Linked DNA regions of Callithrix jacchus. The protein of the gene in region 3 interacts with the protein of the main gene of each other region in a biochemical or structural test. Links are inferred from orthologs where the notes say so. Each region holds a gene or a part of one and is shown on either strand. Other genes may lie near its edges. The genes, in order: PRKRA, CDC42, EIF2AK2, EIF2A and TARBP2.

Region 1 (6,207 bases), on a different chromosome or scaffold from region 3:
TGTAATATTTGCCATATGAAAAATATTTAAAAAAACACAATTTTTAAAGTTCTATGTATTTAATTCTATGCATACCTACATAAAAATCCTTATTTTTACATTATATATGTTTATTACATAACATGGTAATAAAGTAGATTGTGCCACAACTCTGAAGAAATGCAACTCGGTATTTTATTTTTTCTGTATTCCTGGAGGGGAAATTCTTCTGCAGCAAGAAGTTTATTTTAAAGGAACCATTTACAGCCGAATTGTTGGATAGCAAAGTGTGCATAATTTTATTCTGACAGTCTGTCCTATAACGTATCAAACTGCTCTGCTAGGCTGAGCCGTTGCGATTATGTGTTGGGTACAACAGGAAAGAGTTTTATGAAATAAGGTGACAGCTTGTTATGTATCTTCTGGACAATCTGTATCTTCTGCTTGGGTGGTTATGTTGAGACTAGGGATAAGACTGGGGTCTAATTTCAGTAAGCAACCACGACGGCAAATGATAAATTCATAAATTCAATCTTTTTCCTTTTGAGTTCAAACTCTCAAACCCTCATGGAATAAGTTTCAAGTATGGCCCTCAAATGTGAGAAGATACACAAACCACACATTTATCTGCTAACAGGTATTAGGGACAGTATCCCTGCCCTCAAGAGCTAACAGCCTAGTGTGTAATTTTTGTCTGTTAATAGGCACCTGAAATATGGAACGGGATATTTTACAACAAGCCTAAGTGCAGGCTGTAGCAGAGTACATAAAAGCAGCAGCTCTTTTACTCTTGGTCAGGATTCAGAAAGGTTTCATGAAGAAAGAGATAACTAAATGGAAACCTAAATGATGAGTAACAGCTAATAAAGAGAAGAGAGATGGGGTATTAGAAAGAGCATTCTAGGTAGAGAAAGGGCACCTGCAAAGGCTCAAAGGCAACATACAGTACAGTGTTCTCAAGAATCCCAACTAGTTGGCTTTGGCTAAAGTGTAAGAGCTTTTTTAAAGTGTAAGAAGCAACGCTGTAAGTCATGTTAAGAAATGTGCAATAGGCCAGGCACGGTGGCTCACACCTGTAATCCTAGCACCTTGGGAGGTCGAGGTGGGTGGAATGCCTGAGGTCAAGAATTAGAGACCAGCCTGGCCAACATGGCAAAACCCCATCTCTACTAAAAACACAAAAATCAGCCAGGCAAGGTGGCACACGCCTGTAATCCCAGCTACTCGGGAGGCTGAGGTAGGAGAATCGCTTGAACCCGGGAGATGCAGGTTGCAGTGAGCCACGATTGTGCCACTTCTTTCCAGCCTGGGTGTAAAAGTGAAACTCTGTCTGAGAAACAAACAAACAAATAATCAAACAAACAACATGTATTTATCCAGAGGGTTATGGGGAAACCACTGAATGGATTTTGAGATGAGGAAGACATCTGAATGCTAGAAAGTACACTGGTTGTTAGGGCTGGATGAGGTGGCTCACACCTGTAATCCCAACACTAATAGAGGCTGAGGTGGGAAGATTGCTTGATGCCAAAAGTTCAAGACCAGCCTGGCAATGCAGTGAGACCTTGTCTCTACTAAAAATCAGAAACATTAGCTGGGCATGGTGATGTGCACCTGTAGTCCCAGCTACTCAGGAGGCTGAGGCAGGAGGATTGCTCTAGTCCAGGACACTGAGGCTGCAGTGAGCTATGCTCACGCCACTGTACTCCAGCCTGGGTGACAGAGCAAGACCTTGTCTCGAAAAAAAAAAGCAAGACCAACTTGTCTCAAAAAAAAAAAAGAATACTGGTTCTCATGTGACAAAAGGACATCACGAGACTAGAAGATAAATGTACAGCTATAGGACTGCAGCTACAATCCAAGTGAGAGATGACAGTGGCCTAGGCAGTAGCAATGGCCAGAAGAGAGAAGCAGATAGATGCAATGGATATTTAGGAGATGGAGTTTAATGACAGACTGGACAACAGAAAGAGAGATGGGACGTAGTTAGGAAGACAAACCCACATTTCTACTGAACTAGTTGATTATGGAGACTTTACAGAGAAAGGAAATGCAGGGAGAATGGGTTTGAGGGAAAAGATGAATTCAGTTTGGGACAATGAGAGGCTTGAGGGGCTTCTGTGTAATCCAAGCAAAGATGCTCGACAAGCATAGACAGATACACTGTTCTGTAACTGGGCTTGGGATGAAGATAGATATTTCAGAATTATCAGCCTTTGGATAGTATTGGAAGCAATGGAGGCAGATAAGCTTGCCCAGGAAGCCATGGTAGTGTGAGAAGAGGGCATAAGCAAAACAGTTGCCATAGGCTGTCAGTCTGGGGTCTAAAACACATTGAGGGGAAAAAAGCCTCCTTTTTCTTGAATTCTTCCCGTTTATCCAGAAATAGACTAGCTAAAGAAGTAATGCAGTGTTGACTCTGGTTCCCATAGGGACCCTTCCGGCCAGCACCTACAATGTAACTGCCTCACACAAAAAGTTTTAAACTTTTCTTAAAGTGGCATCAATTAAAATAAAGGACTCTAAACTTCCAGGGACACAAACAAATGCTGCCTTCAGATTTACCAGATGGTAGAACTTGAGCCTTCCGACTAAATTTTTTTTTTGGCATTCTTCCAAATTAAATTTAGCATCCAGTGTTTTGTGTTTGCAATTAAATAGATACGTAAGAAAAATAATGTCCACATTTACAAATGAGCAACTTCAGTTATTTGCTCAAGCTCACAGACCAAAAGAAGGCATGAACTTTGAAACTTCATTGCTATGTGACTTCATTGCTATAGGCATGTTACTTAAAATCACTCTGAACCTGTATCTTCTTGTGTAAAAGTGGATAATATACAAAATATCTGTTCAGTTTCAAAAACTAGAAGTTATTATACAATATAATATATGAGGATCTTCTTTCTGCCCTTCCTCATTTTGCTTGGATACAGAATCAAGACTGGTACAATGGACCTAAAGTACAAATGAAAATTCTGGGGTCATGCCTGCTGGCATCTGCTATAATCTGTGAAACTTCACAGTACCTACTGGCCCAGCTATGGCTGCTCCGAACCTTTCCTGCTTCTCTCTAATTCTTAGAGGAACCCTAGAAGGATCCTAGGGTATGAGAGGAGCTGTGCAGGATGGCTGGGTAACTTTTTAGTTTCTGAGCTTCTTTGGTATCTGGGGAAGAGAAAATTAATTGGGAATAGAATTAGATGAGGATGGGAAGTCCTAGCGACCTGAGATGAGAAGTCTGTTTCAGAGCCTGTTCCTTAGAGCTGTCTGGTAAAAAGAGCACTTTTCTGAATTGAAAAGCAACACCAAATCTTGAATGCCAACCCACTCGGTCATCCATGTTAACTGTGTATACAGACCTGTGCAGGTTATGTCACCAACGGTTACTCTGAAGGTGAAAGTGGGTACGTGTATTTGCACATCAGATCTTTCACATTCATAAACCGGGATGTTCTTGGTCTTCATGCCGTATTCGTGTAATACCTGAATCGGTGTTTTCCCTGGCTTAGCTGTTATCATCTTCCCCAAACTGCAAAAACCAGAAAAAGGTGTGCTTTGCATGCCAAATTGGAGATTAAAGCAGAAGCGTGCAGAGGCCAGTTTTGACCGCCACCGACGATGACGCTGGAGGCGCGGAGTTTCCCGGCGGCCAGGGCCAGAGCTGGCGAGGCTGGGGCGCACCTGTCTTCCGGCCCCGCTGCGGCAGTCACCCCGCTGGGGCAGGCGGGGTGAGCGAGGTCTTTAGAGAAATAACTTGAATGCGGGTAAGAGATTCTCAACAGAACAGGGCTGGCAGCAGCGCCGCAGCCTTAGGACCAATCGTAAAAGCCTTTCCCGGGCGCGGCGACCGCGCACCACCTTCGCAAGCCCGCGCACCGCCGTGGGCCAAGAAAGGGGCGGGTCTCGGCCGCGGACCCCAAACCGCGCCGCCGAGAGGGCGGGGCCGAGCGCCCGCAGCCTCGGAAGTTGGGCTGCCGGGCAGGGGCTTTACCCAGAATGCAGCTGGAGGGCCGGCTCCCCGCGCCCCGGCCCCGCCTCCCGACGCTCCCGGCCCTGGGGCCTCGACTACCCGCACGCTGACCTGAAGGTTCCGCTGTCCTCGCGCTCCAGCGGCGGGGCCTCGGCGCGGTGCCTGCTCTGGGACATGGCGAGAAAGGACGGCTCAGCGGCGGGAGAAGAGCGGTGCCGAGCAACGTGCTTGCTCCCCGTCCCCAGGAGGAGTTCTAGCGCCGCCGCCTCCTCTAGCTCCCCCTGCTCCTGCCTGCGTTCCTCCGGCGAGGGGGCGGGCGGGGCGGGGGCGGAGCCTTGGTGCCGTAGCTCCGGCTACGCCCCCTCGCTGTCCAGCTCCGAGCCTCGGTCCCGGCCCAGACCCGCCCCTGTCCCCTCCAAGGTCCGTCCCCTCCAAGGTCCGTCCCCTCCCCGCCCGGCTCCGCCCCTCTGGGCTCCGGCCTTTAGGCTCCCGGGGCTTCTCTGCGTCCGCCCCTGCCGGCGCCGGCCAGCCAGCAGTAAGGCCTCAGTTCTTTGTCCTTAGCAGGAAGCCTTGCCCGGAGAGAGGAATTGTCCGGCGTGGGTCTAGGGTGTTTGAGGCCTGAAGTTAAGCCTTTGTGGGAAGGACGGATTGGGGACTGGGTCACTTTAAGAAAACGATTTCAAAATAACGAAGGCAGAATTGCTAGGAGACTCCCCGGGCCTGGTCCCGAAGCTTGAGACCCCGGATATATCTGCTCCAGGGGGCTGCGGTGGGCTCTCCGGATCCCCGAGCCCTGTGTTTAGGAACACGCGGAGACGTCCAGAGACCTTTCCTCTCCCGCCAGGCGGGCTCCTTTGTCTTCTGGGCTTCCGCTGCGAGATGGAACGCTGATCAGTGCATATAAACGAAGGCCTTTCTCTGGCCCTGTGTTGTAATGGCGTTTGCCTGGGATGCAGCACCTTTGGTGGGCCATTAGATGTTGTGTCTCTTTTCCAGGGGCTTGCTAGACATTTGCAGAAATGCCCCCCTGTGCTTACTCGTTGTTCTGGACGATTGCTTTGTACAAGCTATCCATTCGAAAGGATGTTATTAAAAGTGATCTATGGCGGGGCGAGGTGGCTCACCTGTAATCTCAGCACTTGGGAGGCCTAGGCGGGTGGATCGCTTGAGGTCATTTGTTCTAGACCAGCCTGGCCAACAGGTGAAACCCTGTCTCTACTAAAAGTGCAAAAATTAGTTGGGACTGGTGGTGTGCACCTGTAATCCCAGTTACTTGGGAGTCTGAGGCAGGAGAATCGCTTAAACCCGGGAGGCGTATGTTGCAATGAGTGGAGATCGCACCACTGCACTCCAGCCTGGGCAACAGCGGAAGACTCTGTCTCAAAAAAAGAAGTCATTTATTATTTTGTTAGCATGTGAGCCCTGGATGTTTGAAAGCAAGTGAAAGATGTTCAGGATCTAATCAAATGATATCGTTTGATGCTTTAATTAGAGTATGAATAGAGATTACTATCCGTCACTGTTTTAATGAGTATCTTATTGGAAGGGCTACGCAGTCACCATTTCAAAATATATTAACGTATGCATAACACCTATGGCAAAACATTTCAGCACTTGGGTAAAATTCATTTTTAGTCACAAAATCACTTAAAAACAGGCGAAAACTTTAAATAGCTCTTGTTAAAGGTTGAGTAACTGGGATAATAATGGTGAAATAAAAAGATACAGCAGGACTCCATTTCAAAGAAACAGAGTCTGTGTGCCAAACTTCAGAATAAGAAACCACTAGGTAATAGTTTATATAGTTACTTATATGTAATGTGACTTTGTTTTTAAAATAAAGATCTGCATATAATTGTTTCTCTATAGTCTGAATTCATATTTAATATTAAATAGTTTTATAAACATGTAAGATGGAAGGTGAATGAAATGCTCAGTGAACTGTATGCCGTGAGGATTCAAATCAGCACTTTTGTGTTGCCAAAATTCTAGTGGTGGACTTGTGAAGGGATTCCCTTTGGACTAGGTCCACTGTAGATGGTATCCGGGACTATCGTTAGTGCCTAAATCGCGTTGCTTCCCACAGGGCTATATGCTTCCCTTAAAATTGGTCCACTGCAGTGGCAAATCACTATTTACTGTGATCCTTATAGACTTTAGTCATATTTTTATGTTATTAATTTTCTCTGTATATTTTAGTGCTATAGCCTGCCATTCCAAATTAAACGTGCTCTTAGCATATCATTTTACACCGT
Region 2 (6,043 bases), on a different chromosome or scaffold from region 3:
AAGTAGAAACCAGTAAGACACAAAGAATAATGTGACCAGGAATCTGATACGGTAGTGAACAAGTGGCAAAAATAAGTTATTTGCAAACAAAGAAATAGAGGAAGTTAAGGAAACAAACATTAAGTGAATAATTTTCAGGAGAATAAGAGAACTAATCATCATAGAGTTCCTAAGTGATGGTAAATTTTCCAGACAGTGCAGCTGCAGAAGATACTGAACTAAACAGATGGAAAAAGTCAAGCAAGAGTAGATTAGTAATCACTACTTCAATGAGCCCAAATAAAGATATGGCTGACCAAGCACAAAAGTTGTCTCAGGAAACACAGCACAAAAGCCCATGGAATATGCAGAAAGGGAAAATGTTAACCCTCAGACATCACCAAATTCATTCATTTGAAAAATACTTCTTAAAACCTACTATATGTTTGACAGTATTCTAGGCATTAGCAATGGGGTGACCATGCCAGGTCAATGCCCTGCCCTCATGGAACTTACAATCTAATGAAGAAATGTATGTGGAAGAGAATACTGAATGAGGCATTGTTATACAAGCCCTTTAATACAGAGGGTTTAGGGAAAATATGTTAACACAATATTTAACCCCATTCTCCCCCCCTTCAAAGGAAGCCCTGCAGCCTAAGGTGCTCATTAAGTGTTTCTCATCCTCTCAAAAAAAAAAAGACAAACTAAAATAGAGAAGTGCATTTAAAACATATCTATAAATAAAAGTACAACTTGTCTTTTACTTCCAAGAAAGCCTGTCCACAGCACAGCAGCTCATGCCTATATCCCAGCACTTTCAGAGGCCAACAGGAGCAGATAGCTTGAGTACAGGCATTCCAGACCAGCCTGGCAATATGACAAAACACTATCTCAACAAAAAAAATACAAGAAGTAGTCAGGCCTGGTTGCATGCAGCAGTAGTCCCAGCTACTGCAGAGGCTGAGGTGAAAGGATTGAGCCTAGAAGGCCGAGGTTGCAGTGAGCTGTGATCACACCATTGCACTCCAGCCTGGACAACAGAGTAAACCCTATCTTGAAAAAAAAAACAAAAACAAAAAAAACAAAAAACTCAACCAATTTGTTATTTAGGTCCCCATACTACTCTAGGCTATAGCATCTGCCTTAGAATCTCAAAAAAATTAAGTTTAATAAGAACAGGTGTTGGTTGTAATCTGAAAACATTTTAAGGGAAAATAGAGGATGTAATACCTTTTGGGTCTTTTAGAAATTACTGAAAACAAGCTCATTTAATATTCAGTTGATTATCAGTCTCTTATCTCCATCTCAGTATAAAAACTATACATCCAAACTATACATCCAAACCAAGGTTATTTTCTAAAAGGAAAGACAAAAATTGGTATTATTTAAAATTCTAAAATATAGCAAGCTCAAGAAAATAAGGTAGTAGATGCGTTCCAATGTTATATTCCTAAAATATCACATCAAGGCTAACAAATGTATTTCAGAAGATCCAAGTTCCACACCTATCCCATGGTCTGTAATGCCTACACACTACAGAAAGCTGCCTTGAACCAACACTCCTTTTGTTTAACAATCTGTTCTCTCTATAGAAATGATAAACAGTGGGAAAGCACTTGTTTCGACATGAACTATCTTTACAACAATGCATTACACAATTGGATCTCATTTGCTTTACAGTGTTAACATTTTTCTGTGTTACTATTGTAATCGCGGAAGGATATAAAATTTAGGATATAAATGCTTAGGGAAAGAAAAATTATGATCTCTGCTTGACCCTAGGAGTTACAGACCAGCCTGGGCAAGATGGCAAAACACACACACACAATTAGCCGGGCGTGGTGGCACATGCCTATAGTACCAGCTACTCGAAAGGCTGAGGTGGGAGGATCACTAGAGCACGAGAGGCGGAGACTGAGGTGGGCTGCACTCTAGCCTGGAAGTGCAATATCCATTGTATTTAGTAACGTCTTTGAGACCTTTTCTCAAAAAAAAAAAAAAAAAAATTGTGATCTCAAAAGTATGAAAACATTAAGTTTTTTGCTTAAAAATCCAAGTCTCGTTTTTAATAACAAAACTAAAATGTCTAACAGACCAGGCGGAAACTGATCCTCTTTTCAACACACCTGCACCACAAAAAGTGCACTTGAATCAACTAGGGAGGTTCTCGGCATGCAGTAAGTCATAAAGAAGCCAAACAGTCTGGGAAAGTCATGTTGGACCGAAAAAGTGTTCCCACAAATAAAACCACTTCATTCTAGTATAGTCAAAGGGACCTCAATTTAAAGTTAATGCCCACGCAAGCAGCTTGTCTTATACTTTATTCCCTGACACAAGCTAATCCTGGGGTTTACTTCCTGGCTTTTAGGTGCATTGAAGGCGACCATGACCACAGTAACAAGGTTTCAAAACATCATCTGATTACGATGCGTTGGGAAGCAGGCAGAATAAGCCAAGGGGTGACCGACTAAAGCTGCAAAATGCGGTATCAATTTGTAAGTCCCTGACTTGTAGGAGTTAAGTCTCACTTCTTATACTGCGATGACGTAATCTTCCACACTGCATTTCTCTTAAGACTTAAAGGGGAGGAAAAACAAACGAACAAAGAAAATTTCCCCCCAGTAAGAGGAATTAAGCAAGCAGCAGAACGACGGTTTCGGGAGGTGGTTAAGTAACTCCCCGAAAGGGAAGCTTCAGCTGAATCGGTAGGGAGCGGGCTGGAGAAGAGGACGGAAATGCTAGGAACTCGACCTCAGGCAGGAACAGAGCAGCTCGCGGCTCGGCGCCACCCGGCCCGGACGACGCGACCCGAGCGGAGGGGAGCGCCGACAGGCACCGCAGCGGGCAGCCCGCGAGCCGCCCTCCCGACACCGCCCCGCTGCGGCCGCAACGCCGCTCCCCTCCCCCCGTGCCGCAAAATGTCCGCGGCTGCGCCCGGCGAAGCAGGAAGTCGGGCTGGAGCGCAAGGCACAAAACCCAGCCTGTGGGGACCGGGGACCGGCGCCCGGCCCGCCTCAGGCGCCCGCGAGTCGCTCCGAGGCCCCCGGCACCCGGGCCCCTGCCACCCTCAGGAGCCCGCGGGGCCGGGCTGGGGGGAAGGGAGCCCGGGCGCCCGGGATGGGTGTGACCCCTTCCTTCCGCCCCTGCCGGTGACAGCCCGGCCCCGCTCGCGCCCCGAGCCCCGGCCGCGCGCCCCACCACGGGTGGGCGCCCACCGCCTCCCCGGCCGCGACCCCCGCCCCGGGTCCCCCACAGAACGCGGACTCCCGCCCGCCCGGAGGACGCAGCTCGAGCCGGGCACTTCCCCGCGACCCGCGCTCCCAGGCGTCCCGAGATTTCGCAGACCAGGTGTCCCCGAAAACTGGGAGAGGACAGGGACAGCGGGGACGGGAAGGTGGGGGAGCCGCTCCCGCGGGGACCCTCGGGCCCCGCACTCACCTCAGCTTCTCCACCGGGGCGTTGGCAGCACTGCGCGGGGTCTCCTCGGCTGCCGGACAGGGGCACGCACTTGACGTCAGCGCGCAGGAGACGCACAGTCGGGTGCCCGCGGAAGTGGGAGGAACAGGGAAGGGGAAGAGGCTGGGGCGGGTCCAGGCGGTGCCTGGACTGCCCTGGCTCCGCCCGCCTGTCGAGCACGTGTGGGTCGGCGCCGCTAGAGTTCCGGGCTATACTCTGCATCTTTTCCCAATGATTGTGTTTGTAATAATACTGGTAATGGTAGTTTGCAAAGAGCTTCCACTACCACTTCTTTCTTATTTGTTTGTTTTTCTGAGACACAGTCTCACTCTGTTGCCCAGGCTGGAGTGCAATGGCTCGATTTCAGCTCACTACAACGTCTACCTCTTGGGTTCAAGCGTCCTCCTACCTCAGCCTCCCAAGTAGCTGAGATCACTGGTACCTGCCACCACGCCAGGCTAATTTTTGTATTTTTAGCAGAGAAGGAGTTTTGCCATTTTGCCCAGGCTGGTCTCAACTCCTGACTTCAAGCTAGTGATCCACCTGCCTCAGCCTCCCAGAGTGCTAGGATTACAGGCGTGAGCCGCCGCGCCCAGCCCACTGCCAGTTATTTTGATCCCTGCAACCTTGTAAAGCAAGGTATTATCCTCCTATTTTCAGAGGAGGCTTCTCTGAAAGGGCTGGTGACTTGCCCCAGATCAGAGGAATGGATAGCCTCTCATTCCCCCTGGCCTGTATTCAGTCCGACGTGACGTGAGAACTGAATACCGCTCTTCTTAACTCTACCTACACCCCAGTGTCCCTTGCCGTAGCCACATGGGTCACATGACTTACAATCTTTCCCCCAACTACAGCCGCTGATTTTTGTTTGTTTGTTTGTTTTAGACAGTCTTGCTCTTTCACCCAGGCTGAAGTGTAGTGGCATGATCTCAGCTCACTGCAGCCGCGACCTCCCGGCAATTCTCCCACCTCTGCCTCCTGAGTAGCTGGGACCACAGGCACATACCACTGTGCCTGGGTAATTTTTTATTTTTTTGTAGAGACACGGTTTTGCTGGGTTGCCCAGGCCGGTCTCGGACTCCTGGATGCAAGTTATCAGCCAGCTTCAGCCTCCCAAAGTGCTGGGTTTACAAGGTGTGAGCCAAGGCCTTGAACTTTCTTTGCTCTGCCTCCCTCTTCTTCCCCTGACTTTTGGTTGTCTCTCTCAACCCTCAAATATCACTGCCTTCTCCAACCATCCTATCTTTGCAGTATCTGTTTATTATTTGTTTTCTCTGCTAGTCTGAAAGCTTCAGCAAAGTAGAGAACTTCCGTCTCTTATTCTTGAGATGTTTCCCTATGTTAGAGAAAAATAGCTTAAATAGCTTGTCTTAATAACAGCTCATTTATTGATTAGTGCCACAGCTATTTGGCCAACAAAGACACTTAATTCCAGTATATTTGACTTAATATAAAGTCATACTTTCTTTTGGAATTTTTCATTACACAAGAGTAAGAACTACATCTTTTAGCATTTACTGCCAGTATGGCTAATAGCTTTGCGGGTAGGAGTAGCTAATTTAATACCCACAGCCACCCTATGAGTTAAGAACTGTTACCCTTACTTTATGGTTGCATGAACTGAAGCTCAGAGGTGTTAAGATTTGCCCAAAGCCACCATGCCAAGCAGTGGCAGAGCTGAGACCTGCACTCAGGAGGTTGGATCTAGCTGACTATGACAGTATCATGCTACAAAGCAGGTTTCTTACAAAGAAATCAGAAGATAAGGTTTCAGGCCAGGTGCAGTGGCTCACACCTGTAATCCCAGCATTTTGGGAGGCAGAGACAAATGTATCGGGACCATCCTGACCAACATAGTGAAACCCTGTCTCTACTTAAAAAAAAAAAAAAAAGATTAGCTGGATGTGGTGATGGGCACCTGTAATCCCAACCTACCTGAGAGGCTAAAGGAGAATTGCTTGAACGTAGGAAGCATAGGTTGCATGAGCCAAGATCACATCATTGCACTCCAGCCTGGGCAACAAGAGTGAAACTGTCTCAAAAAAAAAAAAAAAAAAAAAGTCCGGGCACAGTGGCTCACACCTGTAATCCCAAATCCCAGCACTTTGGGATGCCAAAGCAGGTGGATCACCTGAGATCAGGAGTTTGAGACCAGCCTGCCAGCCTGACTAATATGATGAAACCTCGTTTCTACAAAAAATACAAAAAATTAGCCAGGCGTGGTGGCATGCACCTGTAATCCCAGCTACTCAGGAGGCTGAGACAAGAGAATCGCTTGAACCCAGAAGGCGGAGGTTGCAGTGAGCCCAAATCATGGCATTGCACTCCAGCCTGGGCAACAAGAGTGAAACTCCATCTCAGGGAAAAAGAAGAAGAAGATGAGCTTCGGCTGTAGTCCTACCTCTAATGATACCAACTGCTAACATTTTATTGTTCATCTTCCCAGACTTTTTCTATATACATACATTTATTAGACAAAAATAAGATTGTAACCACCTTTTCTCTCTCAAAACTACATTGTGAGGCTAGGCACAGTGGCTCACACCTGAAATCCCAGCACTTTGAGAGGCCAAGGTGAGTGGATCACTTGAGCCCAGGAGCTCAA
Region 3 (5,407 bases):
CCTCAAGATATCAATCATAGATTATCATAGAATTATTTGTTCTTGGGCCCCAAAATAATGAGGAAGGTCGATAGGTGTACAAAGTTGTAAACAACCTAAATAAATACCCTTCAATAAGAAAATAGTTAAATACAACTTGGGCAACATAGTGATACCTCATCTCTACAAAAATAAAAATAAATAATAAAAATAAAAATAATTAGCTGGGCATGGTGGTATGTGCCTCTAGTCCTAGCTACTCAGGAGTCTGAGGTGGGAAGACTGCTTGAACCCAAGATTTTGAGACTGCAGGGAGCAATGATCACACCACTGCACTCTAGCCTGGGTGAAACAGAAAAACCTGTCTCTAAAACAAAATAAGCAGCCTGGTCAACATAGTGTAACCCTGTCTCTACTAAAAATGTAAAAATTAGCCAGGCATGGTGGTGGGTGCCTGTAATTCCAGCTATTTGGGAGGCTGAGGCAGGAGAATCCCTTGAACCTGGGAAGCAGAGGTTGCAATGAGCCTCTTCACTCCAGCCTGGGTGACAGAGCGAGACTCTGTCTCAAAAAAATAAAAAAATAAATTAAGTAAGAACAACAACAGAAAAAGATTAAATAAATAAAAAAATTAAAGATTAAATAAATAAAACATAAAGATAAAATAGTTAAATAATGGTAGCTCTACATTTTGAAATACAATATAGTTAAAAAAAAGAATGTGGCAGCTCTTGTTGAACTAATATGGAGAGATTATGCTATATAGTCACAAAACAAAAAAATAATCAAGTCCTTGAAAAATGTATGCACATATATGTTTATGTAAAAAAAAAGTCTGGGTGTATATTTGGGTTTGCATGTTTTTATAACTCACAGAAAATTATCTAAAAGAACAAACTGATGAGAAGAATGCAGGTGGAGAAGAATGTTAAGGGGAATGTTCGATTCTTATTCTATATAATTCTATACTGTTTTAATTGTATAAGAAGTGTCTACTCTTTTTATAATTTTAAAAATAAAAGAAGTAAAATATAGAGAGACAGGAAAGAAACCTTACCTGTTCTGGGCTCATGTATCGCAGAGTTCCTGTATTCCTTGTTCGCTTTTCATCGTTTTTCAAGGATGTTACAAGTCCAAAGTCTCCAATCTTTATTTGTTTTGTATCTACTAAGAATATATTACTTGGCTATGAAAAAAAAATTGAACTTACATGTACTGACTTCACATACTATTACCACATGTCTTAATCATACACAGCAATGGCCATTTTATATTACTTATAAGAGCTTTACCGTTACACAGGGAGCCAAAATCAGGGAATTTAATATCACTGGTCTTTAAAATGCCAGCTGAAAGAAGTGAGGATTTCTTAGCTCACAGAAAAGGTGGCTTGGGGCACAGCTATCCCTCTGGAAAGCAGTAACATGCCAAGTGGATCCACTCTGCACGGTCCAAGGGAACAGATCCAGGACTACAGGGTGGAAATGACCAAAAGATTTGCTTTAAAATATCCTAATATCCTAATAGTGTTGTCCAAAGAATGGGAGTTAGTTCTCCATCCCAAGATAGGGCTGAACAACCAGTTGAGGAAATGTTGTAAATAAGAGTCCATTATCTGATAGGGACCTCCTTAAGATCCCTTCCAACCTTGAGATTCTCTAAATGGATCCTTCCCAACAATAATGCTGATTAGCCTGTGCAGAATTTCTCCTGGGGGTCTTTTTTTTTTTTTTTGCGACGGAGTTTCGCTCTTGTTGCCCAGGCTGGAGTGCAATGGCGCGTTCTCGGCTCACCCACCGCAACCTCTGCCTCCCAGGTTCAAGCGATTCTCTTGCCTCAGCCTTCCAAGTAGCTGGGATTACAGGCATGCACCACCATGCCTGGCTAATTCTTTTGTATTTTTAGTAGAGACAGGATTTCTCTCCATGTTGGTTAGGCTGGTCTCGAATTCCCGACCTCAGGTGATCCACCCACCTCGGCCTCCCAAAGTGCTGGGATTACAGGCGTGAGCCATCATGCCTGGCCTCTTGGGGGTCTTTTTTATGTCAATTTCTCCAAGCCTCTGACAACTTCTTAAACATATCCCTTCCACCTTGAAAGGATACCAAGTTAATTGGAAGATGATAACTAGCTCTGAAATATTTTTTATCCATGCAATTCTTTAAGCAGATTTTTTTTTTTTAAAAAAAAGGAAGAACTGAATAGAAGTGGTCATTCTGACTCCATAGCTTTATAGGAGGTGTTTTGTTTGTTTGTTTTGTTTTGTGAGACGGAGTCTTGCTCTGTCGCCCAGGCTGGAGTGCAGTGGTGTGATCTTGGCTCACCAGAACCTCTGCTTCCTGGGTTCAAGCAATTCTCCTGCCTCAGCCTCCTAAGGAGCTGGGGGATTACAGGTGTGTGCCACGACACCTGGCTAATCTTTTTGTATTTTTAATAGAGACGGGTTTTTGCCATGTTGGTCAGGCTGGTCTCAAACTCCTGACCTCAAGTGATCTGCTTGCCTTGGCCTCCCAAAGTGCTGGGATTACAAGCATGAGCCACCATGCCCAGCCCATAGGAGGTATTGACTAATATTCTGTTTGTTTGTTTTTGAGATGGGGTATCATTTTGTTGTCTAGGATGGATTGTAGTGGTGTGATCATGGCTCACTGAAGCCTTGACCTTTTCAGCTCAAGTGATCCTCCCACCAAAGCCTCCCAAGTAGCTGGGACCACAGGCCACCAAGCTGAAGCCATAGTGACCAACATTCTAAAGACCATAAAAACAGAAACGTAGTTGATGAGAAAACTAGTATTTTGCCATTTTTGAAAAGGCTGGACTTTTAGTACAATCTTAGGCTATATACAAACAGACTGTGGGATAACACACTTATGAGAGGGCCTACCTAGTAAAGAACCTGAGAGGGAAGAGACTATTGGCCCAGGAAAGGCTGAAGGAGGAGCTTCCAAGAAGCCAGCCTGAGATGACGGCCATGCAGAAATTAGCAGTTGGATTAGAATTCATTTTTTTTTTCTTTTATGGATTGGAGGTTTCAGAGAATCACAAGGAATCAGGTGTTCAGAGGAATGTATTGAGTAGAGGTGAGGAACTAGGATGTTGAAAAGTAAAAAAAGGAGAGAAGGAGAGGAAGAAAGAGGAAGAAAAAGAGGGAGAGAGAACAGGAATATTGCTTCATTCTAAAAATGGGTATTAATAAAAATGGGTAGAATTCAATTAACAGATTGGAGCCTAACACTAATAATACAGACGGAAGACTGAAGACAGACGTGGGGTGGATGTGGAGAGAAAAGATTCCTATGCTATGCTCAAGTTACAGGTAGGAATATGTTGGGATTGCAAGTGAAACTGCTGGTCCCATATAAGGCTATCTCGCCTGACTCTAAGAAACTGTAAATATCCAAGCTGGATGAGACTCTGTAGTAAAAATATCAGATCACTTTTTATAGTTTGTTAAAAGGAAAAAGTGGGCCAGGCATGGTAATCCCAGCTCTTTGGGAGGCTGAAGTGGGCAGACTGAGCCCAGGAGTTCAAGACCAACCTTGCCAACATGGTCTCTACCAAAAATACAAAAAATTAGCTGGGCATGGTGGCAGGTGCCTGTAGTCCCAGCTACTCAGGAGGCTGAGGCAGGAGAATTGCTTGAACTCAAGAGACAGAGGTTGCAGTGAGTCGAGATTGCTCCACTGCACTCCAGCCTGGGCGACAGAGTGAGACTGTGTCTCATGAAAAAAAAAAAAAAAAGAAAAGAAAAGAAAGAAAGAAAGAAAGAAAAGAAAGAAAAGAAAGAAAGAAAGAAAGAAAGAAAGAAAGAAAGAAAGAAAGAAAGAAAGAAAGAAAGAAGGAAAGGAAGAAAGAAAGAAAATAAAAGAATAAGAGGCTGGACACAGAAGCTCATGCCTGTAATCCCAAACTTTGGAAGGCCAAGGTTGGAAGATCACTTGAGCTCAGGTGTTTGAGACCAGCCTGGGCAACATGGTGAAGTACTGTCTCTACAAAATATCAAAAATTGGCCTGGCTTGGTGGCCTGTGCCTACAGTCCCAGTTACTTTGGGGGCTGAGGTGGGAGGATCACTTGAGCCCAGGAGGTTGAGGCTGCAGTGAGCTGAGATCATGCCACTGCATTCCAGCCTGGACAGTAGAGTGAGAACTTGTCTCAAAAAAAAAAAAAAAAAAAAGAAATAAAAACAATAATGCCACATTTTGTCTAATCAGCTATAGTATGACTAGATAAAATATAGGGTCGTAGAGCATAAAAAAGGCGTGAAACTTCACATAGGAGGCACAGGAACAGGGCTGATGCTCAGGCCAAGGACAGCCAAAGAGCCGGGGCTTTAGGAGACTGAACATTTTAGAGAGAAGCAGCCTCGGACAAACGCCCTCACTCCAGAAACCCCTATGTCCCCTCCCAGCACCTTTGGTCTAGTTTCTAAGATTCCAACAGAAAGTGGTAAACATTTGGAGACTTTTATAAGAGGGACTGGATTGGGTAAAGACCATTCTCTGGCAAAACCACCTACACCTGCTATTTTGCAAAGCATAACCCCAAAAGTGTACACCTTCACTGAATCTTTTCTTAGAAGAGAGAAATCAACAGCTGTAGTAGTGAGAGCTAGAAAAGTGACAGAAGATGAAAGAAGTCTCACTATCAAAGCTTGAGGCCAAGTGGAGTGGAACACACCTGGAATGCCAGCACTGTGGGAGGCTGAGGTAGGAGGATTGTTTTGAGTCTAGGAGTTTGAGACCAGCCTCGGCAACATGGTTAGACCCTGTCTCTACAAAAAACCAAAAAATTACCCAGGTGTGCTGGTGTACACCTGTGGTCCTAGCTATTCAGGAGGCTAAGGTCGGGGGACTGCTTGAGCCCAGGAGATCAAGGCCGTAATGAACCATGATCATACCACTGCACTCTAGCCTGGGCAAAAGAGCAAGATCTTGTCTCAAAAAATTTGTTTTAATTTAAAAATAATTAAGTCTGACCCTTGAGCAACCGTAGCCAGAGCAAAAATTCTCTGCAAATAGATGCAAGGAAAGACCAGTCTATGACACAGAGTACACAGTGCGGGGTACAATTGGTAAATAAGTGGATAGGCACCAGTCAGAATTTTGCTAATTCATTCTGAAGATTAGGAACTTGATGCCTACACTTCTGCATTTATTTGCAAATCATTATATATAGAAATAATTGTGCTTATTTTGTTATTTACCTATATGTGTGATTTATCCCAAAGTGAAAGTATAACCACTCTACAATTATCCTTTTGAAATAGTCTTGACGATATTGCAACTTCAAATAACACCTTCAGATATTGTAGAAGAGACATATTGGAACCAGGCAGACTCAAAACACCAACACATCAGGCAGCCAGCCTCTGAGCAGACCACAGAAGCAATACCTTTTAAGTGCTACTCATTCATATCTGAGCCAATA
Region 4 (5,407 bases), on a different chromosome or scaffold from region 3:
TATTGACATGATATAGGATATAAGATATAAATATCAATTTAATAGACTATTAAATAATTTTACACGTTGGAAAATCTTGGATAAATGGTTAAAATTAGAGACTAACATTAAGTGTGGGCACAGGAATATTCTGTGTACACCAATGGGTTTAACAGAAGATGTGTTTGCACTGATTTCTGGTCATCAACTTGCTCTCTGTGAATCTTTAAATACCAAGTTCCAAATCTTCCAGCTCCTGGAGAAGGGCTGTTTCTTTTTGAATTTTCTCCAACTACAAAAATTTAAAACAATGAAGTTATTATGAAACAAGTACTGGATATGTAATAAAAATAATACAGATATAGGATATTTCTGACAATTTATCATGTTCACTAGTAAACACACATTTTAAAATGCTGGTTAGACACAAATTCTAATTTGTTATCTGGTATGAATCAAGGGTAAAAAAGAACAGACACTGTCTTATTGCATCCCTCTGTGCCCAATAAATTTTCAATACTATATTTGGGTTTAAAAATGTTGAGGAAAGGAGTAGGGAAAAGGTAAACAGGGCAGTACAACTTGAGATATGGAAAGGAAGAGAATCTTCTATTTGTCTAATATAACAAATTGCTATTATTTTCATCAGTAACAGCGTAGTACGCCTCTTAAGAACATGGACTCTTTTATTCCCATGATCAATACCATATCTCCTCTATTTAAGTTTAAGAGTAAAGCTATTTAAAAATAAAAACATTAAATAGAATATGGCATATGGTTTTCAAAGTAAGTTTTCAAAATCTATGTGCTCATTTACGTGACTAGATATTTGTTTATAATAAATGGGGGAAGGGTGGTGGTCACAAGCCTAAATGGAAAATGCAGAAAGTACCTGATTTTTTTCTAGCTGTTTTCCAGTTGCTGCTTGTTCTTTCAGTTGTTCAATTGCTTTCAGTTTCTGCAAATATCAAATATGAGTCAAGAGGAAGGAAGTCACTTCAGATGCAAATTTCCTTATTAAGAATGTGAAACTCAAATAAGGAGATTAATTATCTTACATTTGTATAAAAAATGGTCTGTTAAAATGCTACGATAAAACTATTTTTTAAAGTTAAAGTTAAATGCAAAATTGTAAGTGTTAAAAACATGAGATTTGGCAAAATATTTTTCTCAGGCTTTTAATTAATGTTCTCATATATGTATATGTATATGTAAATGTATCAGTAATGGCACATTTCAATGCCCCACTGGAACGGGTGATGTTTCTGGCTTTGAGAGAAATCTTAGTGAGAGCATTCTGAAAGATTTTTGGTCCAAAGTCCTACCCAATAAAAAAATGAATGAAAGAGAAATCTCATAATGCAGCTGTGTAGGGCTCTAGAGACCTTGTTTTATCCCCAGGGCCACCCCAGCACACGGGCTGCAATATCACAAGTCAATACATTTCTCTTTTTGTCTCCGTCTCTTCATCTTCAAAACTAGGATAAATATCTGGTCCTACTTATCTCACAGGTATCTAATGAAATACTGATTATGCCTGTAATCCCAGCACTTTGGGAGGCTGAGGCAGGTAGATACCTGAGGTCGGGAGTTAGAGACCAGCCGGGCCAACATGGTAAAACCCTGTCTCTACTAAAAATACAAAAATTAGCCACGCGTGGTGACACACGCCTGTAGTCCCAACTACTCAGGAGGCTGAGGCAGGAGAATCACTTAAACCTGGGAGGCGGAAGTTGGAGTGAGCCAAGGTTGTGCCACTGAACTCCAGCTTGGGTGACAGAGCGAGACTCCATCTCAGAAGAAAAAAAAAGTTTTCAGTATATTTCTCTGCTAATGCATACTGATTTTTATTACTCCAAAAATCAGTAAATTACTAAGAGCCTTCAGACATTTGTGACAAAACTAAAATCGGTACCATTACTAAGTGACAGTACTTTATAGTGAGAAAGCAACAATGAGAACTGCTAATATAAACTTCTTAGCTCCTGTCTTTAGGCATCTAAGTACTACCTTATTTATGTAATTTTAATTTATGCCTTGCAATTTGCACATCTGTTTTTCATCTAAGTTTCTCACCTTCTTTAGGTTCTTGATTTTTTTGTCTATCTCAGGATCCCCAGAAATTGACTGAGAGATAGTGCTTCGTGGCGTGCTCTGTGGGGCAGGAGTAGGTGTCAAATCTGGACTCTTGTCACTTCTTGCTTCCTACAGGAAATATTTTTTAAAATTCAATTTTAAAAACCAAAAACGTTACAGTATTTAAGCCATCACAGCTTTGGTCTATAAAATATAGAAACTATGTGATTTTACCTACATTTTATATAAAGAATCTGAATTAAAGGTCTCATGAAGTATGCTACATACTCCCATATTAGAAATAAAATGACCTTATCAGAGTAAACTAGGAGGTTTCTGTACAGCCAACAAGCATTCCAAACTTTTGGATATTCTGAGATGTGCCAGTAGATGGATAGATGGATGGTTTGAACACATGAGAGGGCTTTTCTATTTAATGTGTTTAAAGTTTCACTCTCACAAGGCTCTCTCCAAAACTATGAAGAATATGTATGATTAAGTATATGTAATGGATTATGCTACAAGAATAAGAATCCTACAGATACTAATTTATAATCAGATCAATTCAATTATGCAACAAAGAACCACAAAACTTTTTTCCCCTTAAAGGGATGCTATGTTGCTTCCAATATGATCAGACCTCTGATAACTTTTCTTGTCCTTCCTCACTGAAGGACCCCGATTCTGAATCACTTTTATTTTCGCTAAGGTGCTGTATACTTTTGCCCTTGGCCTTTGTGTACAGAAGTCTCCCTTAACCACGCTTTCATTTTCTATGGTTTCAGTAACCGAGGGTTAACTGCAGCCCAAAAATATTACATGGAAAATGCCAGAAATATACAATTCATAAGTTTTAAGCTGTGTGATGAAATCTCTCAGCATCCTGCCAAGGGTGAGAATCATTCTTTTTTTTTTTTTTTTTTTTGGGGGGGGAGGAAGGCAGGAAGGAAGGGAAGAAGGACGGTAGGGAGGAAGGAAGGGATGAAGGAAGGAAGGAAGGGAGGAAGCGGGGAGGGAGGGAGGGAGGGAGGGAAGGGAAGAAAGGAAATCAAGCAATGAAAGAGACATTGCCGACCTGGATCTAGAGGTTTACAAGTTGATTTCTTTTCTTTTGAGGGACGGAAAGAAAAAAAAAAATAAGTAAAGGAGAGGAAGAAAGAGGAAGAGAAAGAGGGAGAGTAAATGGAAATATTGCTTTATTTTGAAAAAAATTGGGTATTAATAATGGCCAATCAATGTTTTATTTAAACTAATGGGTAGGTGTGATGTGGTATTGACAAGAATGTATATTTTGTGTACTTGAAGTGGAGAGCTCTATAAATATTTATTAAGTTTACTTGTTCTGGATCTGAGTTCGAGTCCTTGATATCCTTATTAATTTTCTGTCTCATTGAATCTAAGTCTCCTATCTGGGTGTTAGGATCGTTAGCTCTTGTTGCATTGATCCTTTTACCACTATATCTTTGTTGCTTTAAAATCTATTTTATCCGATACAAGAATTGCAACTCCTGCTTTTTATTTATTTATTATTTATTTTTGCTCTCCATTTGGTTGGTAAATCTTTCTCCATCCCTTTGAGTCTTTGTGTATCCTTGCATGTGAAACAGGTCTGGATGTAACATGCCGTTGGGTTTTGGCTGTGTCTTTTGATTGGGAATTTAGTCAATTTAAATTTAGGGTTACTGCCATTTGATGTTGACTGGCTGTTTTATCCATTTGTTGGTGTAAATTCTTCTTTATGTTGGTGCTCTTTACTTTTTGGTGTATTTTTAGAAAGGCTAATACTGGTTGTTTCTTTCTGTGTGTAATGCTTCTTTCAGAAGCTCTTGTAAAGCAGGCCTGGTGGTAATAAAATCTCTGAGTTCTTGCTTGTTCATAAAAGATTTTATTTTTCCTTCAGTTGTGAAGCTTAGTTTGGCTGGATATGAAATTCTGGGCTGAAGGTTCTGTTCTTTGAGGATGTTGAATACTGGCCCCCACTCTCTTCTGGCCTGTAGAGTTTCTGCTGAGAGATCTGCTGTAAGTCTGACAGGCTTGCCTTTGTGGGTTATCCAACCTTTCTGGCTGCCCTTAGTATCCTCTCCTTCGTTTCAACCCTGGTGAATCTAACGATTATGTGCCTTGGGGTTGGTCTTCTTGAGGAATATCTTTGTGGTGTTCTCTGTATTACCTGGGGTTGAATGTTGACCTGCTTTGCTAGTTTAGGAAAATTTTCCTGAATAATATCCTGAAGGGTATTTTCCAGCTTGGATTCATTCTCTCCGTCGCATTCAGGTACACCTATCAAACGTAAATTTGGTCTTTTCACATAGTCCCACATTTCTTGGAGACTTTGCTCATTCCTTTTTATCCTTTTTTCTCTAATCTTTTCTTCACGTTTTATTTCATTAAGTTGGACTTTGACCTCTGATATCCCTTCTTCTGCTTGAACAATTCGAGTGTTTAAACCTGTGCATACTTCTCGGAGTTCCTGTATTGTATTCTTCAGTTCCATTAATTCACTCATACTCCTCTCTAAGTTGTCTATTCTCAATAGGATTTCATCAAACCTATTTTCAAAGTTCCTAGTTTCTTTACATTGGGCTACAACATGTTCTTTTAACTCACCGAAGTTTGTTATTATCCATTCCTTGAAGAGTGATTCTGTCATCAGGAGGCGCTCGTTCTCCATCAAGCCTTGTTCCATTGTTGATGTGGAACTGTGATCATCTTTAGAGGGAGAGGCGTTCTGACTTTGAGTATTCTCAGCTTTTTTACGCTGGTTTCTTCCCGTCATTGTAAATTTATCCTCCTCTCATCTTTGAAATTACCAACTTTCAGATTAGGTCTCTTGAGTGGACGTCCAGGTTGTTAGTTCCCAGGGCCAGAGCAGCGGCGTTAAAACTGATGGTGATTTTCTGCCCAGGATTCTCCTGTCGGGCTTCCTTCTTGTTTCCGTAGTAGGCGACTCTGCCTTCCCGGGGCTCCAAACCTCAGTCAGAAGGGGAAGCGGTCTGTTTACTCTGCTCCGAGAGCTGCCGCGCCGGACCTCGGCGGAACCGCTGCGCCGACCACGAGAGTCGCGCTGGCGACCCGTGTGTTTCCACCACTGGGGGATCTTCTGCTCCGTGAGCGACCAGACTTTGTCTCGAGAATCATTCTTTTATCCAGCGTATCCACAGTGTATTCAGTCCCCACCTATTTTTCACTAGTAGCCGTCTTGGTTATCAGATTGACTATCATAGTTTCAACAGTGCTTGTGTTCAAGAAACACTTATTTTACTTAATAATGTCCCCAAAGCACAGAGTAGTGATGCTGGCAATTTGGATGTACCAAAGAGAAGCCGTAAAGTATTTCCATTAAGTGAAAAGA
Region 5 (6,022 bases), on a different chromosome or scaffold from region 3:
TCCCACTGTCTACAGAGCCTTGACTCTTCCCTCCTCTTAGTCAAGGCCTTGGTTACCAGCAAGTCTCAACTCTTGCTTATTTTTAAGCCAATGAGTTTGAGGAGTGTTTGTGGGAAAGGGAGGAGGTTTTTGGAGGGCCTGACTGGGGGAGATGGGTTAGGGGAGCCAGAGGAGATGGAGAGAAAGAGGACGGAGAAACCCACACGTGAATGGGGGAGGGGAGGATGCAACAGCTGGATGGAGGTGAATGCCACAGCTGGCGGAGATTAGGAGGATCACAGCTGGAAGGGGAGGGGGACCAACGCCTGGGATCCAGGAACAGGTGCTCTCTGACTAATCTTGAGGTCCAGCCTGCTAAGTGTGTGTGTGGAGGGAGATGGTAGGTACATCAGTCCTTGCCCTTCCTTTCCTTCCCTGGAGGGGGCCAAAACTCTCCCTCCTCCTTCCCTCTCTCCCTTCCTGAGGATGAGTGGGAGGAGATGTTCTCTTGCCCTCTGTCCTTTACGTCTGTCCCCCAGTCACCCTCCACACCACCCCAATACGGTCCTTTCCAGCTCTGGAGGCCCTTCGTCTCTAAGCTGGGCCGCGGCATCCCTCGGCTCCATTCCCTTCCTTCCCAGCCCCACAGGCGTCGGGTCCAGGTCCCCAGTCCCTCCATCTACACAGCTTCAGCATCCCCAAGCCACCACCCTGCACCAGGCCACATCTGCATACCGACCCTCCCTTCACGCCCGGATCCCAAGACCCGGACCCATCCCTGCCCCCCACCCCCCCACAACTCGGCCAGGATCTCACCTCGGGGGCTCCGCGGCCGCAGCACAAAAGGCGGCGCTGCTGCAGCTCAGCTCCGGATGCTGCTCCCGCCTCCTCCTCCTTCTCCTCCTCCTTCCCTCCTCCCCCCGCTGCCCTCCACCGGACCCGGGGCGCTGTCACAGGCGATGCTAGTGCGGAGTCCGGATGCACGGGTGTCAGCCCCAGCTTTCTGCCCCCACCTCCCGACCCCTAGCCTCGTCCCAGCTCGGCTTGAACTCCCGCTCCTTCCAGGGCCCCCGCCCCTGGCCCCCCGGGACGGACACGCCCTGAGCGGGGGATGCTGCGATGGAGCCGCCGGCCTCTTAAAGGAGCCTGCTGTTGCCATCCGGCGCGCTCCAGGCTCGTCCCTGGTCCGCCTGGGCCCCATGCCTCCCTACTGGCGGTGCCCTATGGAGGTCCCACCTCGGGCCTTAGGCTGATTTCGCAGGAACCCTCTATGACCCGTCCTATAGACTCCTTTCTACACCGGAGAGAGCAGCCCCTCACATGGGATCCCTAGCACCCTGGCATAGCTCCCCTATCATACAGATCTTGCCAGCTCTCCTTCCCTTGATTGTCACCGCTCACTCGAATTTAACCCACTTGGAATTCACTCAGCTCTAGGCCCCATCCTCCTCCACTGTTCCTGGATTATCATTCCAAGATTCCTCTGGATCTCCAACCCTACCCCGGCTCAGAGTAAGACATCTCTTTCTTGACCGGTTCTCAGAAGACTCATTAGAACCCTTTTCTTTCTTTCTTTCTTTTTTTTTAATGTGATCTCTCTCCAAGGTCACAAGATTTCCCTTAGCCCGGTGGTTGTGCGACTTTCGGGGAGAAGGCAATGGGGCTCTAGGACTAAGAAATGAGCATCTGCTCGTGTACACCCAGATCAGTTGATTAGTCTTAGGTGGCCAAAATTCACTCCTGCTCTCTTCAGCTGAAAGACCCAAGACTCACGGCAGAGGGGACGAGACCACCAGGTGCCTAGTCCTTCTAATCCTATCGTCCCACTATAACCTGATTTTCAGGACCCAGAGGTTTCCTGGCCAGTGTAAGGGAGGTTCACTAGAGCCGTTCTAAAAAGGCTTACAAAAGCAGCAAAACCTGAAGGGAGGTGAAGGACAACCTAGAAAAAGGAAACAAGTTCTGCGTTACGAAGGCCCAGCAGCCAGGGGCTTAAGCTGAGGGTTGAGGGGACTGTCTGAGATGGACATGGACCTGCACCAGCTCCAGCGCCCTGTGGAGGCAGAGATCGGTCCTCTCCGGTGTCTGGGTAAGACCCACCCTGACCGCAATAAGCCAGGATCCGAAGGCAGCCTCCCCGGACCAATCACAACCTTCCTTTGACAAGCAGGCGTGGTCAGGGGGGCTGACTTTTCCTTGTCCCCGCCCGTTTAGTCGAAATAACCAATCTCAGTGCGCCGAGAGGAAGTAAACGCAACGGGAGTAACCAATGACGCCGCTAAGCTTCTCGTGCGTGCTTGACCCTGCCCCTCCAGCTGCGACAAAGATGGCGCGCAGGCTCCTGGGTTCTGTAGTTTTCTTGGAATCCAAAAGGCCCCGTGCCCGAGTGAGTCCTTACCGCCCCTGGCTTCCACTCCGCTAGTACGCATGTCCACAGCCTCACTGCCCGGGAGACCCGGGGCGCGGAAGGAAGGAGGCGGGACAATATCACAAACAAAAAAATACGGCCTTCTCGGGAAGCGACGGCGAAGGGCCCGCCCCTCCCAGAAGGCGGCGCAGCCTGCCCAGGCCAGCCACGCGGAGGGTTGTGGGGCGGATAGCTCCCCTCCAGATGGAGGCTCATGAAGTAGGGTGGGCGGGGGACTCCATATCCCAGCGTGCCCCGCGGCGGGCCCTACCGGCCGCGACTCCGGGCTTGGCCCCGGCCCTAGCTCGTCTGCGGTGTATTGGGGCGCGTGGAGGCTGCAGTCACAGTGGCGCCCGCGGGGACGGAGGAGGGAATGAGTGAAGAGGAGCAAGGCTCCGGCACTACCACAGGCTGCGGGCTGCCTAGGTGAGCCGCCCCGTACCGATCCCTTCAGGGCGAAAAGCGTGGGGCTGTGCGGAGGGGGTAGCAGCGGGGCCCCAGCATGCACCTGGCCTGGGGGTTGTTCCCGGCAAGCACTGGGGCAGTGGGCAGTGGTTCCCGGCGTGCACCGGGGCAGTGGCTGCTGCCTCCAGCTCTAAATAGTTTGGGGTTGGCCCGGTTCCCAGACTGCACTGGAACACTGGGCTTTATGCCCCCACATTCAGTGCATTTGGTGGGTACTGGGTCCCTGGCTTGCAGTATGTCAGGGGGTATGCATTTTCAACCTGCACTGGGGCACAGAAACGTGCCTACCTTAACTGAGGCAGAAGCAGTGCATTCTTCCCCCCTTGCTTTGGGGTAGTGGACCCTACTTTTCCAGCCTGCACCTCCACTTGGAACCCAGTCAATAGATGCTAGACTGCTTGGGGTTCCCCTGGACCCTATGTCCCCCATAATGTGCCTAGGTCTCATATGGCAGTGCTTGGCCAGGTGGGTGCAGAGAGGGGAGGTGTGATGTCGGTCTGTGCCCCTTCCCCCAGTATAGAGCAAATGCTGGCCGCCAACCCAGGCAAGACCCCGATCAGCCTTCTGCAGGAGTATGGGACCAGAATAGGAAAGACGCCTGTGTACGACCTTCTCAAAGCCGAGGGCCAAGCCCACCAGCCTAATTTCACCTTCCGGGTCACCGTTGGCGACACCAGCTGCACTGGTGAGGAAGGCTTGGGCAGCCTGGCTGGGGTGCGCATTCATAGGTCCCCATGGCTTTGTTTCTTGGAGTCTCTGTCTTCACAGTCCTCTTCAAGGCCAGTGAGGGAAGGAGAGCTTTCAGGGGAAAAGCCACTGACTGGATTGGGAGAACAGGGTTGTCAGAAGGTGGGTAGGATGTGGGAGAGTTAGAGGAGCAAGCAGGACTGCCACAGTGATCTGGCGGATCCTCATCACCCTAGAGGAAAAGTAAGAGAAGATAACTGAAATCCCAGTGGAATATTTGGGGGAGTGAGTTCCTGGCGTGCTGGGCTCTGTTCCAGGTGCTTAACCAAATTCCCATTTAATTTTAAACTTCAGTCTAACCAGTGATGTAGGTGGCAGTATCCCCCCCACCCCGCCTGCCCAGGTTGAACATGAGGAAACAGTATTTGAGATAATAAATGGCTGGTGCACAGTCACGTGGGGCTTTTACTCCAGAGCCTACCCTCTCTTTTTCCAGCTATTTATTGAGGGAAAAGAAAGTGCTTTGCAAAGGAAATTAAGGCATTTGAGCTCAGCAGTCCACCTAAGGCTTTGAGTTCAGAAGTCCTGCTTGGCATGGCCTAATTCTGGAAGCTAATGGAAAGATAAGGGCTATTCCTTCCAGCAATTAGTGAAACACTTCCAGTCTTCAGCAGGAGGAGGTTGGTCAGAGGGGGCTTGATTGATTCCCTCTGGCTGTGAGAAGAGAGGCTGTGGGATGCTGGTTTCTCTCCTGTCCTTCCAGTGACCTCCAGTATTGCCCATGCCCCCTCTCTCAGGTCAGGGCCCCAGCAAGAAGGCAGCCAAGCACAAGGCAGCTGAGGTGGCCCTCAAACACCTCAAAGGGGGGAGCATGCTGGAGCCGGCCCTGGAGGACAGCAGGTGAGGGAGGAACCGAGGCATCCCAGAAGCCCTTCGAGGAACCCAGGCCCTGCACCACCTTTCTGCCCCCAGGCCTGGCCTGGTGACACTTAGCCACCCTGACCTGGCCTCTTCCTGAGAGTCCCTCTGGACCTGAACAGAGTCTTCCAGGGCCTCTGCTGCTATGAAGAATTCTTGGGGGGGGGGTTGGTTAGCCCCACAGAGGGGTTATGGCAGTAGTTTGGGGCCTGGGTTAGGGAGGGAGAGGGGTAGAGACTGAGACTAAAGGGAGTTGCTTCCCACCATGCCTCCTTGTTCTAGCAAGATGTCCTTCTTCCACACGCAGCTCGGCGTTTGTTACTACTTGGTTCTTGGGTACCAAGAGGCCCTCTTCTCTGAGACCCTCTTTTCTCGGTCTTTTTGCCAGTGTTTGGCAGCACAGGATCCCAGAAGGAAGCTGTTGGTTGAGGCTCCCTGATCCTTTGGCTCAATTTGGAAGTTCTCTTAGGGGATGGGCAGGTCAGGAAGACCTGGGTCCCCTACCCCTCTCTTCCCCCTATACATGGGTGTGAATCAAAGGCCCCCTTCCCCTCGGGAAGTTCTTATTCTCCCCTAGACTCTTCACTGCCTGAGGACGTTCCGGTTTTTACTGCTGCAGCAGCTGCTACCCCAGTTCCATCTGTTGTCCTAACCAGGTATCTTGTGTCCCCTGATTGCCTGAAGGGGGTGGAGGAAGGGATTCTGGTTTCTGGCTCCTTAGTCCTTGGACCCAGGCTGGTCAGGAATGAGGAAGTCTGAGAATAAACAGAATGGAATAGGTGGGAACCAGAACTTGAAGAAATCACACCTGCTGGTAAGCTCTTGGGACAGGAGGTCATTTGTGATTTTCAAATAGCCTTATGGATGATGTTCCACCATGTTTAAGGGGCTTGCAGCCCCATTTTCTTCTGGGTTTGACTGCATGTCAGTTCTGTGTTTGAGACCCATCAGGCACTTCTGGGACTGGAAGTACAGCCCTTCTCCCACTGTTCTGGCTTAGATGATAGCCGTGTTCCAGAATGGAAATGGGCTGGGGCCTGGAGAAGGCCTTCCTTGAGTGGGAGGGGGAAGGAAGCCGGCTAGAGCAGGAAGGAGCAGGCTGGATGTGTGGACAGACAGCTGCCTGCCTGGTGGGAATTGGGAGATGGTAGTCGGGAATCTAAAGTAGTGGTTAGGCTTGAAGCTCATGGGCAGGCTCAGATGGAACTATTCAGCTCAACTTTGGCCCTGTGCCCTTTTTCCTTCAGGAGCCCCCCCATGGAAATGCAGCCCCCTGTCTCCCCTCAGCAGTCTGAATGCAACCCTGTCGGTGCTCTACAGGTGTGCCCTATCCTCATTTCCTGTGCATGCCTGTCTTCCCTTGAGCCAGGGGCTATGAGGGAAGGTGGTATGTGGTTGGGGGCGGGGGCAGGGGCGGTTCCCGGTACTGAGGCCCTTTCCACCTACCTCTCTCCTTCCTCTCACCTAGAGTCTGAGGCTCCTGCTTGGGGACCCTCGTGGGTGTGAGAAACGTTTTTTCACCCAGCCTCATGCACCCTGTGTCTCCTTTCCAAGGAGCTGGTGGTG

The links.
Region 1: the proteins of EIF2AK2 (region 3) and PRKRA form a complex in vitro, tested with the Homo sapiens proteins (3 studies listed by BioGRID and IntAct, with this or other methods). The link is inferred for Callithrix jacchus from reciprocal best matches to the Homo sapiens genes EIF2AK2 and PRKRA.
Region 2: the proteins of EIF2AK2 (region 3) and CDC42 form a complex in vitro, tested with the Homo sapiens proteins (2 studies listed by BioGRID and IntAct). The link is inferred for Callithrix jacchus from reciprocal best matches to the Homo sapiens genes EIF2AK2 and CDC42.
Region 4: of the proteins of EIF2AK2 (region 3) and EIF2A, one has a biochemical effect on the other in vitro, tested with the Homo sapiens proteins (4 studies listed by BioGRID, with this or other methods). The link is inferred for Callithrix jacchus from reciprocal best matches to the Homo sapiens genes EIF2AK2 and EIF2A.
Region 5: the proteins of EIF2AK2 (region 3) and TARBP2 form a complex in vitro, tested with the Homo sapiens proteins (2 studies listed by BioGRID, with this or other methods). The link is inferred for Callithrix jacchus from reciprocal best matches to the Homo sapiens genes EIF2AK2 and TARBP2.

What each region holds. Positions count from the first base shown.
Region 1 is NC_133507.1:49,633,872-49,640,078, forward strand, and holds the start of PRKRA (interferon-inducible double-stranded RNA-dependent protein kinase activator A), read right to left. Parts: upstream 4,129-6,207; coding exon 4,064-4,128; exon of another isoform or gene 4,026-4,063; intron 3,512-4,025; coding exon 3,342-3,511; intron 1-3,341. Other genes in the region: PJVK (pejvakin), read left to right, coding at 4,127-4,487. UniProt on the Homo sapiens protein: Activates EIF2AK2/PKR in the absence of double-stranded RNA (dsRNA), leading to phosphorylation of EIF2S1/EFI2-alpha and inhibition of translation and induction of apoptosis.
Region 2 is NC_133508.1:58,816,056-58,822,098, reverse strand, and holds the start of CDC42 (cell division control protein 42 homolog), read right to left. Parts: upstream 3,472-6,043; 5' UTR 3,421-3,471; intron 1-3,420. UniProt on the Homo sapiens protein: Plasma membrane-associated small GTPase which cycles between an active GTP-bound and an inactive GDP-bound state. In active state binds to a variety of effector proteins to regulate cellular responses. Involved in epithelial cell polarization processes.
Region 3 is NC_133515.1:77,866,112-77,871,518, reverse strand, and holds part of EIF2AK2 (interferon-induced, double-stranded RNA-activated protein kinase), read right to left. Parts: intron 1,166-5,407; coding exon 1,037-1,165; intron 1-1,036.
Region 4 is NC_133518.1:34,658,356-34,663,762, forward strand, and holds part of EIF2A (eukaryotic translation initiation factor 2A), read right to left. Parts: intron 2,185-5,407; coding exon 2,056-2,184; intron 938-2,055; coding exon 872-937; intron 272-871; coding exon 206-271; 3' UTR 1-205. UniProt on the Homo sapiens protein: Functions in the early steps of protein synthesis of a small number of specific mRNAs. Acts by directing the binding of methionyl-tRNAi to 40S ribosomal subunits.
Region 5 is NC_133510.1:66,045,740-66,051,761, reverse strand, and holds the start of TARBP2 (RISC-loading complex subunit TARBP2), read left to right. Parts: upstream 1-2,628; 5' UTR 2,629-2,759; coding exon 2,760-2,812; intron 2,813-2,936; exon of another isoform or gene 2,937-3,059; intron 3,060-3,366; coding exon 3,367-3,536; intron 3,537-4,335; coding exon 4,336-4,438; intron 4,439-4,844; coding exon 4,845-4,936; intron 4,937-5,016; coding exon of another isoform or gene 5,017-5,033; coding exon 5,034-5,112; intron 5,113-5,703; coding exon 5,704-5,776; intron 5,777-6,010; coding exon 6,011-6,022. UniProt on the Homo sapiens protein: Required for formation of the RNA induced silencing complex (RISC). Component of the RISC loading complex (RLC), also known as the micro-RNA (miRNA) loading complex (miRLC), which is composed of DICER1, AGO2 and TARBP2.